3 linked regions of the Nothobranchius furzeri genome follow. The protein of the gene in region 2 purifies or fractionates together with the protein of the main gene of each other region. This does not show direct contact. Links are inferred from orthologs where the notes say so. Each region holds a gene or a part of one and is shown on either strand. Other genes may lie near its edges.

Evidence for each region. The genes of interacting proteins can lie anywhere in the genome.
Region 1: the proteins of prpf31 (region 2) and sf3b1 fractionate together in Homo sapiens (co-fractionation; 3 studies listed by BioGRID and IntAct, with this or other methods). This does not show direct contact. The link is inferred for Nothobranchius furzeri from reciprocal best matches to the Homo sapiens genes PRPF31 and SF3B1.
Region 3: the proteins of prpf31 (region 2) and eftud2 purify together in Homo sapiens (affinity purification with mass spectrometry; 4 studies listed by BioGRID and IntAct, with this or other methods). This does not show direct contact. The link is inferred for Nothobranchius furzeri from reciprocal best matches to the Homo sapiens genes PRPF31 and EFTUD2.

What each region holds. Positions count from the first base shown.
Region 1 is NC_091754.1:36,036,820-36,040,337, forward strand, and holds part of sf3b1 (splicing factor 3B subunit 1), read right to left. Parts: intron 3,287-3,518; coding exon 3,107-3,286; intron 3,036-3,106; coding exon 2,949-3,035; intron 2,615-2,948; coding exon 2,344-2,614; intron 1-2,343. UniProt on the Homo sapiens protein: Component of the 17S U2 SnRNP complex of the spliceosome, a large ribonucleoprotein complex that removes introns from transcribed pre-mRNAs.
Region 2 is NC_091745.1:76,608,066-76,612,102, forward strand, and holds the start of prpf31 (U4/U6 small nuclear ribonucleoprotein Prp31), read right to left. Parts: upstream 2,817-4,037; 5' UTR 2,677-2,816; intron 1,673-2,676; coding exon 1,457-1,672; intron 1,381-1,456; coding exon 1,320-1,380; intron 1,215-1,319; coding exon 1,131-1,214; intron 1,034-1,130; coding exon 936-1,033; intron 567-935; coding exon 460-566; intron 1-459. UniProt on the Homo sapiens protein: Involved in pre-mRNA splicing as component of the spliceosome. Required for the assembly of the U4/U5/U6 tri-snRNP complex, one of the building blocks of the spliceosome.
Region 3 is NC_091745.1:13,626,186-13,629,703, forward strand, and holds part of eftud2 (116 kDa U5 small nuclear ribonucleoprotein component), read right to left. Parts: coding exon 3,439-3,518; intron 3,326-3,438; coding exon 3,207-3,325; intron 3,080-3,206; coding exon 2,985-3,079; intron 2,900-2,984; coding exon 2,746-2,899; intron 19-2,745; coding exon 1-18. UniProt on the Homo sapiens protein: Required for pre-mRNA splicing as component of the spliceosome, including pre-catalytic, catalytic and post-catalytic spliceosomal complexes. Component of the U5 snRNP and the U4/U6-U5 tri-snRNP complex, a building block of the spliceosome.

The DNA.
Region 1 (3,518 bases), on a different chromosome or scaffold from region 2:
CTTGCGTTTGGATAAGCCGTTACGTTTTGGTTTAGAGTTCATCGTTTTTGTGGTGTAGATCTCCCTTTTATTACATTTAGAGTGTTGTGGGTTTTTGGTTTAGTTTAAGATATCACCGTGAGTTTGGTTTAACCGCCCAGTTTAGAGTTTGGACCTTTGCAGATCCTTATTTTGGTCCAGAACCCTGTAATCTTTGCCCAGTGGGACATCCCTACTTATTTGTACTTTTGTTTTAATTCCCCACGGGCAGAATTAGTTTTATTATTCCCAACCTGTGGATGGAAAGATTTATGTTTTTTTGTAGTTGTAAAGAACCCTGATCATCATTTTAACTTTTAAATCCCGCTATTGTCCCTTCCTTTTTGCACACGAGCCAAACTCCCCAGGAAGGGTCATAACACCACTCGCCTCACACACATAAGTGACCAAAACAAAGCAGCATGGAGACACTCCTTCTCCAACCACCTCTCAGGCAGCAGGCTGCATTCCCAAGTTCTACACGTCACCAGAACATAACCAACCGCAACACAATAAAAGCAGTGTTATACAAAATGGAAGGTCTGTAGCGTTTATTCTATTACAGTAACAATTGATCAATTTCTTGGAGGAATTTATTAAGAGATTTTCTTGTTTTTATTAATTATGCAATAAGAAAATAATTACTAGATTAATTGTCTAAATCGGGGGTCGGCAACCCGCGGCTCTGGAGCCACATGTGGCTCTTCCATCCATCTGATGCGGCTCTCTATGCTTGTAAAATAATGAATGGATATTTAAATAAAATGCTTTATATTTTACTGCATTAATTTTACATCTGTAAGCTAATTCTAAATGTAAAGGTTGTCTGCGTAAACCTGAACAGGTCCAACCCAGTCTTACTGTGAGACCGGGTTGACGCGTCACGCTTGTGCGTAATCATAGGCACTTTCCGAGCTGAAGAGGATGTGAGATTCTGGGATTCTCCTCAGACAGGCTCCTGGATGTGTCGCCACATTGGAGACAGGAACAAGCGCTATTCAGCCAAAGTTTCATAATCAGGGAACATTTTCTAAGTGACAAGTCTCGCTTCAGTGGGAGGAATCTTCACGCATGCGCTCTGGTTCTGCGACGCGCTCCAAGCCCCTCTCCACATCTTCAGCTCGCTGTGTACCATACGTATGCGCTGACAGTGAGCTGCGCTGAGCAATGTCCAGCTCAGATGTTCAGATGGGAATCTTTTCTTGAGTGATTTAGCTACATCTGCGATGTGTGTAGAATAAAATGTCAGTTTGTCTGCATGCGTCGGGGTAATTCTTTCTATTCTTTCTCCGTCAAAATAAACGGTCAAATACGGGAACTGTCCGGTCAACACAACACAAGCCCTGCTTTTAACTGTTTTGTTTTCTTGTGAAAATTGTTGCAAAGAGATATAATTTAACTTGATTAACACCAGAGCCAGGCGCACTGCGTCGTTATCTCCGCTGCTGTAAATGAGGGAAAAACAAACTGATCGGATCCTTTTCTGACCTTCCCCACCTACAAAGTTTAATTACAACAATCAAACGTGACAGAGCCTGGATTTGTATTCTGAACAGTCTAAACATGTTGTAAAAAGAAACGTATGACAAAAGTGGCACCTGCTCAGTAAAACCAACAGGGTGAAAAATATCAAAATATTGTAGGCAGAGACGGGCTACAACTTCTGGATCCACTTTATATAAATCATTTTATTGATTATCTTTTTTATGAAAGATAACTTTGACGTACACGAGCGACCGGTACCGACTGCTGTCACCTGTTGTGATTGGTTAAGGCAGCGCTCTGCTGTCTGAGGGTAGGCCCCGCCCACAACGCCGCGGCTGCTGTGGCTCCCAGTGTTTTCTTTACTGTGGGAAACGGGTAATAATGGCTCTTTGATGGGAACAGGTTGTCGACCCCTGCTCTAGTCACTAGAATAGTTGACTATTCGATAAAAAATCGTCAGGATAATCGTTTTAAAAATAATCGTTTACCCCCAGCCCTAACCTCCACAGAAACTACTGCAGATCGTTATGGTTACCGTTTTGGTAAGAGGACTGTATTTACAGAGTTCCAGAACCTCACAAGGCGCTTGACAACAGTCTTTCACCTAAATCTCAGGGTTAGTTTAAAAGGTTATGCTTGCTGATTTATAAGGTTGTATCTGATCCTTTTCACCCAATGTGATGGAACGTCCCCACTAATAATAATAATGTCATTTATAAAGGATTAAACCTTTTCTTTTTTACTCAGTGTAAAACACACCGAGTCATGGCTTTAACGCGATCACCTGTAACAGAACGTGATTGGTGCTTTAAAAGATTTGTGGATGAGGGTCCGACTGACCGTGTTCGATAATCTCCACCAAGCTACGCAGATGAGGCAGAATGGCGCAGCCCATCAGGATGGCGATCTGCTGTACTATCTTGATGCCCGTGTGTCGCGCCTGCCACGACTTCTTGCTTTTGCACACAGCTTTGAGGAAGGGCAGGAGGGAGGGGATACCAAGAGCCGAGGCCACCACCGCGAAGGCTCGAGCAGTCGTGTTTCTGACATACTCATCCATGTTGTCAATATCAGGTCGCATTGTGGAAATCATTGTAGCCAAACCAGCAGCCTTAAAAACATGAGAAAAACAAGTTCACAGGTTACTCTGATTACCACTGAAAGCCCAAACACAGCATCAGTCAGCAGAACAAACACTTTATAACTATGACTGTGCACTCATGCTGAAGTATTTAACAGATGCTGCTTCTTTGCAGAGGAACTGTAACCAACGGGTGCAGGTTGAGAACAGACTAGGCATTAAGGTCAGGTCTGCATGCTCTCATGTTGGTATCAATCTGGCGAACAACTAGCCCTGATCAGACCACAAACTGGTCAACCAGGCGAGAAAGGTTCGCGTCATTTCTCTGTTACATCAACAAAAGCAAATGGCAGCTAAACAATACCTTCGCTAAATTAGAGATGATCTCTCTGCCTTCAACTCGAGCATAGTAGTCCTCATCAATGAGCAGAGGCTCAATCACCACGAGAATCTGAAGAGAAAAGCTCAGGTTAGAGCGCCAACATCCATAGAGACAAATGCACGTCTCCGCAGTGAACCCACCTTGTGCACATACGGCCGAACCAGGTCATCCAGTTTGTAGAGAATCCTGTCGATAACTTTCACCAGCAGGTGGCGCTCCTGGTCTTCCAAGGTAGGCGACATGAGCAGCGGCAGGATCTGATTGAACAGGGGACCAGCTCCAAACTCACGGGCTTTGTCTGTGATTTGACGCAGAGCCGCCTGATAAAGAAAAGAGACGCGTCAGATAAAAGCCTCACAAACACACAGAAGTACTTTGGTTTAGCGGTTGCACCAACTGCCTGCTGAAGCAGACCTTTTCTCTGCTACGTGGAACAAACTGGCACCTGCTGATCTTTTTATTTGCACTTTGTGAAAAAAAAATACTAGCTGTAGTTTATAAACCTAAACAAACGAACATCACTATACAGAAGGTCACAGCAAAAAGTCTGTG
Region 2 (4,037 bases):
AACGGTTCAGAGTGAAAATGGCTATTTTGTTGTTAATTTGCAGGAAATATCTAGAAGAAAGTTCTACAGAAAGTAGCTAAGGGTCCTCAGAAATGTAGCTAGCTTTGTCACTAGGCGTTAGGAACAGCGACAAAGTGGCACTGCCTCTCTCTCTGCTGCTAAAGCTACGGATAGCAAATGCTACGGGCGATGCCTGAGCGTGAACGCGCATGAAGCAGCCTGCTCGACCCGAGCATCTCTCTTTTTCTGTGATTTTACAGAAAAACAGGCAATCACAGTAAAAATGCCAGGGCTCATTCTACAGGACCAGGGCATTGCAGGAGAATGTATGAAGAAGACATTTATTATTTCTATACATGTTTTGGCTGTCAAACTTCCATAATGCCCCTTTAACATCTGAATTATTCAAAAACTTCATGCTGTTCACTCGCCAAACAGGATTCTGACAGGAAAACTCACCCCTGTGTGGTCGATGCGGTGACACTGACAACCATAATAGTTGCATTGGTCAGGATTTGCTGCAGGGTCTCATTGTTTTTACATTTATCCAGATTGTTTCCCAGTTCCTACAAAAAACACACAAATATTACTGAATGTTTTGCTAAATCTGCACACACACACACACACACACACACACACACACACACACACACACACACACACACACACACACACACACACACACACACACACACACACACACACACACACACACACACACACACACACACACACACACAAACACAAACAAAAAAAAACTAATCCGGTTTTACGTTTAAAAAGTTTGGAGATAAAATTAAAAATGTAAATAAACAGCAGAGAATTGTGTGATTTCACAAATCCTTCAGAAAATATTTATTACATTTAACCAATGACACAAATATTCAAAAAGGTGACATTTTAATGTGAAATTCAGAATCAAGACGTCAGCTCACCTTGACTGTGCGAATGTAATCTAAAGCATCTGGCACCAAAGACTCGAGCTCAGGAAACCTCTTGGAGTATTTGTCTCTTGTAAACTTGTGAATGATGTCTAAAAGTACAAAAGGAATAGAAAAATTAGATGTGTGGAATTACTCCTCACGCTTTTCTGTCACGGTTCCTCGCAGCGGAACAGCCAGCTGACTCACTGAGCTCGTTGTCGATCTCCACAGTAAGGTTGTTGGCCGCTACGATCAGCCTGTATTCTGGATCAGCCTCAACAGGACCAGAGACTAAAAACAAACACAGCAATCACTTCAGATTTGTCAGCACCGAGCTGATTTAAATGCTGTGAGGGACGCCTGAGCATTGATGAAACTCAAAGGAATCAAACTGACCGTCTGAATTTTTGCGTTGCTTTCCCACATATTCTGAAATTTTGTCCATGATGTCTGAAAACTAAAAACACACACAGTTAAGTGGGATTCTAATGTTTTATTGTACATCTCACTACACAGAAAACTCAGATGATAACCTGCTTGCTGTTGCGAAGCTTGGCGATGGACGCAACGCTTTCAGCTTTACTGTAGTCCACCTCCATCTCCTCTGGAATGTCTTCCAGCCCTGCCTGTGTCCTTCCCTGGATCCCCTCTCCATCACTGTCTCCCTCCTCCTCATCTGGATACAATCCTTCTTCTCCTTCATCTGCAGCCTCCTCCAGGTCAGCCAGGAGCTCGTCTGCTAGAGACATCTGCAAAAGAGCAGCGAATAAAAATAACAATATGAAGATGATAAATACATGAAAACAAACCAAAGTGTGTGTCTGTGTACACCCCCTTCTCATCTTAGACAGTATATTCATAACAGCACTTTTCTTCTACATTTTCACACACACACACACACACACACACACACACACACACACACACACACACACACACACACACACACACACACACACACACACACACACACACACACACACACAGAGAAAAAGAAAGAATGGTAATAAAAGCCTCATCTTAATGATGAACATCTATTTTTATTGTAGCTCTGATCTTCAGATTTTTGAACATGTTTTTCCACTAACTCCATACTTCTGTTTCTTTAATTTAAAACTTCATTAATCTTTGGAAAAATTTAATAGAAGGCGTATTTATGCCAGTAGTTACCTCTACTAAATAATCTAATTTTAATATGTAATTTGATATTTCGTTGGATTAAATCACATTATTTTAGTGAAACCAAGTAAACACTGGCACATACATGTACACAGATAGAGATAACCTGCTTTTCTAAAACACCAAATACTGTCTCATTCACTATTTCAAAAGGCTGAAAACACAAATGTACAGCAAATCACTATGTTTTACATTATTACTCATTTTAACTGATTTCTAAACATTTATACACGACCAAAATTATCTCGTGCAACCGGTAAACCTGAAACTGCTATTAAACTAAAATTATAGTTTGCTAAAGATACATTTTAAACCTCATACACAGTATTTCATTGAAATACTATTGGTAGTATACAACTTTTTGTCTCGTTTTCAGTGGCTGCATGGCATTTCATTACTTCAAGCTCTTCAAATAACATGTAAAATTGCAACACATAACATAAATATAATAATTAACACATTTTAAGATGTTTTTCTCAGCCGCGTTAACACACCAGCTGCGCTGTTAGCTAGCTAGCGGCATCAAACGTCTCCTAAACGTTTCCTGAAGCTTTATTAAAATGTTAGAACTCACCTCTGAGATTCAAATTGAGATTATTTACTCGGGGAAAAAAAACTTCAGAAGACAACTAATCTGTTTAAACACGCTGTTGCTATTTTATTTGTCCGTTTAAAGCTAATGTTGTGCTCTGCTCTTGTCGCAGATTAAATACGTAATGAGCTTCCTAAGGCCTTCTGGGAAATGAAGTCACTGGCCCATAAACTGAGAAATAGATGAAAACTAATTGCTTTATTTGCGAATACTTCGTTTTAAGATGACAAACAGTGAGATTTATATCCATGAAAACATTTTAGGTAAAATATCAACTTTTTTCTGTTTTTATTTCTTATTTCTTCTTATTTATACATCGTCCCCTTTGAAAATCATTTTAAAACAACACAAGTTTAACATTGAAACAGACTAAACAGACTTGCCGGACCTCTGCAGCATGACCAACTGTTATTAGTTAAAAAAAGAAGAATAAATTAATCAACAAATACACAAACAAATTGACTTATTTACTCATGAAAAGCTCTGATTTGTGGTGCTAAGCTACAATAATCATTATCAAACAAACAAGTAAAAAAGTGGTAAAGCTCCTGAAAATGTTGACCAAGACCGAGAGAGAGAGAGAGAGAGAGAGAGAGAGAGAGAGAGAGAGAGAGAGAGAGAGAGAGAGAGAGAGAGAGAGAGAGAGAGAGAGAGAGAGAGAGATTTCCACACAGTAAAGATCGTCATAATATATTAACAAGTAAAATTATTCGAAATACATTTTCTTCCAGCAATTAAAATGTTTGGGAAAATATTGTATTTGTTATGAAGATCTTAAGAGAATGTACAACTTGGATGCACTTTATCCCAAACTAAATAAATTTCATAAATGTTAACTACTCTAAAGCAAATAAATGAACTTATAAATAAATAAATAAATAGGTAAATTAATTAACTAATTTGCACAACTTGGTTTACAGCAAATAATTCTATCAGTATGATAAATATAAAAATAAAACAAATTTTAAAAATGCTTTTCTAAGATACAAATCCAAAGTAAAATACCTTTTTTTGCAGTCCAAGATTGCTTCTTAAAGCAAAAGCTCTAAAACAATATTGTGTCCACCTATGTTGTGATACTTGCACAAATGCTGAGGAGTATTTTCAGATACAGGAGTCAGGAAATGTCTGCTTGAAACTGCTGCCTACAAGCACGACGGACTGACTGCAAAGAAAAACGTCGTTGAGGATAAACTGGGGAAGAGTCCAAGCGTATACACAGACGGATGAACGACTAAAGAAAGTGCATCTCCCTCCCACACACCCTAAGAAAACGATTCAACAGAATGAAGGAGAAAAGAGAAGGTACGCTGGTACACAGCAAGACTCCCACTGCATAGCTG
Region 3 (3,518 bases), about 63 Mb from region 2:
GGGGTCACCAGGCACAATCTTAAAGGGGGATCAGATAGGTGATGCAAACAGAAACCACATTTGTTCTCATATAACACATGAAACTTTTCAACCAGCCGAGTGGATATTTTCATTTTATGAGATTCAGCTGAACGCCTGTCCTGTTGGTACGGAGTCAGCAGAACGTTCATCAGCGTGATGGAGAGATGTGCAAATGTGAAAGCACCGTCACACCATCAAATGTGACCAACACAGCAACAATGCAACGTCGGCAGGTTGAGCTTTAAAACGATCCACTAAAGCCATTACCCCAGGCAGTTTGCAGGATGACCTTCACAAAACGCGTCATATATTAATCGTCCCGTTCTGCATTTAGCCGCAGATGAAAGATGAGACCTGCTAGCAGGGTGGTGGGCGTGTACGTGAAGTAGGTCCAGCCAAATCAACCAAAGCGTGAGAGCTACTAATTACATAATAACATTGAGTATTTAAATCTAACTATTAAGGAAATGTGGCCAAATGGTGCACTACACCAACCTCTGAGCTATTCTGGATACCCTGAGCAGCTGAATCCGTCGTGTTGGGACAGTAATTACAGTTACGGATGATAACGGTGATTGATGAGGCACTAAGTGTAAAAGTAATCGCAAAGAAATACTAAATAAATCTTATTAAAATGGGGTGGGAATCCTGAACTCACGTTTGCGTCGCATTCATTTAGGAAATTACAAAGTTATTTGAAAACGTTTAAACACAACTCCAAACAGAACTCCTAAAATAAACAGACATCAAGTAGAAATGTCGATTTTTAAAGTTACAATGCTGATGTGACAGTGTGAGTGTCCTGTCACAATGTCCCGATAGATCATGCGCCCTGGCTACTTGGCCAAGGGGATGTCCCTTTGGCTGACTGGTTAGAGCGTATGACTCTCACCCGGGAGTCTGGGGGATCAAATCCCGCCTGGGCCCTCGTTTGTCCACCTTGCCACACTAATGTTAAAGTTTAGATATTCCGGTAAGTTAGCTTTCTTAAAAACTATGAAATATTGAGCTAACGTGCTAACTCAGACTGATGTAAAATAGAAGTGGCCAATCGAAAGGCGGGGTGAAGAGACCCCCGTCTAAGGTCTCTAAAGCTTCCTCGACAGTAAAACGTTGTCCGTCAGTTCAACCGTGGCTCATTTACCAAAGCGCCGGCAGAACCATGACGGGAACAATGATCCATAATATAGAGAATTTTTTTTCTTTGGTCGGCCACTTTCCATCCACGCGAGTCTAAATTTGCACGTTACCCAAATACGATAACCACATTTTATATTTTAACATTTATATTCAGCTCCACACATTTAGTTTTCAGTTTAAATATTTACGTTTAACTTTGCTTGTTTAGATTAGCATCTTTATATTTTTCTATCTGGTTTAATTTTAATATTATCCAAATCTAAACGTGATCAAATCCAGCAATTCTGACAATATTACTTAACAATCGGCCCCCACAGCAACAAAAACTAAATATCGCTGCTTACATAAAACTATGTCTGGGAATATTCCAGTAGTGAAAAGCTGATGTATTAAAAATGTATTGAATTGGTAAAAGCTTGAAAAAGATTCTGTAGAAAGTAGGACTGCACAATATATCGTAAATATATCGTTATCGCGATATCAGCATGAGCAATATGCGTATCGCAAAGAACCAAAATATCGCAATGAATGGTCAGCTCAAATGTTTGCTTCACATCAAGCTTCTGTCAGTCAAACGGAAGAATGATGTTTAACAAATCAAATAGAGCTCTTCACCCATTTAGCCAATCGGGTGGGTTCTCATAGGTTAGATTCCCGCCCCCGAGGTGGACGGAACTTAATTTTAATGGTTAGCAAACACCTGAGTTAGCTTTGTTCTGCTGATTCTGCTTTTCTTGATCATTTTCTTTTCCCTTTCCTCACATCTTTTGCATTTCTCATTTTTATGATTTATTTTATTTCTTTGCTTTATTTTTGTTCCCGAGTTAAGTTTTTATTTATAGCAAGTAATATCGTCATTGCAATATCAATCACCATTATCGAATATCGCAGGTTTTCCCAATATCGTGCAGTCCAGGTAGAAAGTATCTGAACACAAACCAACCAAAGGTGTCAAGAGTTGTATTAATTTTGGTCGACTCCATATGATTAGCATTCATATAGTGAATAATTAAAATGTCTAGTTAGATGCATTTATTTTCACCTCAAGGGGATAAAACGGTTAAGACGATATCACTTTAAATTTGTGCCGTGGGAATATTTTCCGTAGCTCGTGGCTTAAAGACACTAAGCTGAAATATTAATCTAGCCTAAGTGGAGTTCATTTTCACTGACACAGCTCAACAGAGTGCAGACACAAACACACGTCAGGCAGACACAAACAGCCTCATAACGCTTTAAAAGTAATGACTCAACACTCCACCGTCCTTTGGATCAGAAGCAGTTTGCCCAGAGTGGCAGACATGCATGAGGTCGACCACGACGCAGCACGAGCTGCCACAAACGCACGAGTTCAACAGCAGAGAGATCAAAACATTGTTTACCGCTCTAATTTCCCTCTGGGATTAATAAAGTATTTATTGATTGATTTTTTTCATGGTGCAAAGTGACTGTCACACTCAGGTGCACACTTTATTGGTAGGCCACACATTTCTGCTGCTATTTGAATTTTAATCGCAGCTAAATCTGATGAAATCAAATTCAGAGCGATAACACGCAGAAAGCAGGTTGCGTGTTTAATCTCACCTGCCAGTGGTGGAAGACAGACAGAGCAAAGGCCTGACCCTGAGTGTGCGTACGAAGGTCAGTCTCAAAGCCAAAAGAGTCGATGGCTGGGATAAAAGCTTTGATTGTGTAGAGTGGAGAGCCGGGAATAGGTGCATCCTGGGTGACGTGACCTCTGACAGACGGAAAACACACGAGAAGTTTTTTAAAACTTTAACAAATAATTGTCAGAATTGTTGTTTTTGCCTCGTGAGACAAACCTCCTCCGAGCCAGCACCGTGTAGACCGCTGACACACAATCAGCCGGAGCCTGGACCTCTACGAAATAATACGGCTCCATCAGCCTCGGCGTGGCCTGGGAGAACAAAGCAGACTCTAAAGCACTAAAACCCGGAGAAGCATTACGATGTTCTAATGAACACATTTATGATTCAATCAAAGCTAGCAAGCATTTAGAAGGTATGGATCAAACCAAGCCTCACCATGAGGAAAGCAGAGTAAACAACCCTCCTGGCCGTAGGGATAACCTGACCTCCTCCTCTGTGGAGAGGCTCCTGAGCGATCACAGCATCCAAGATCTTAAACTTCACATTTCTAATGGCTGAAGAGCGAGGAAAAAACACAAGACTCTGTCATTTTATATTTATTAAGCTACGTATGTCCATATCAACAAGCATTCTGACATCCAACAGCTAAACTCAGCGTGGTTCTTACGTTCGTCACAAAGAGGCCCCTCCCTGGTGCCCCACTGGAAGCCCTGAACGATGCTGTCTTTAACAGACCCCAGCAGCGCC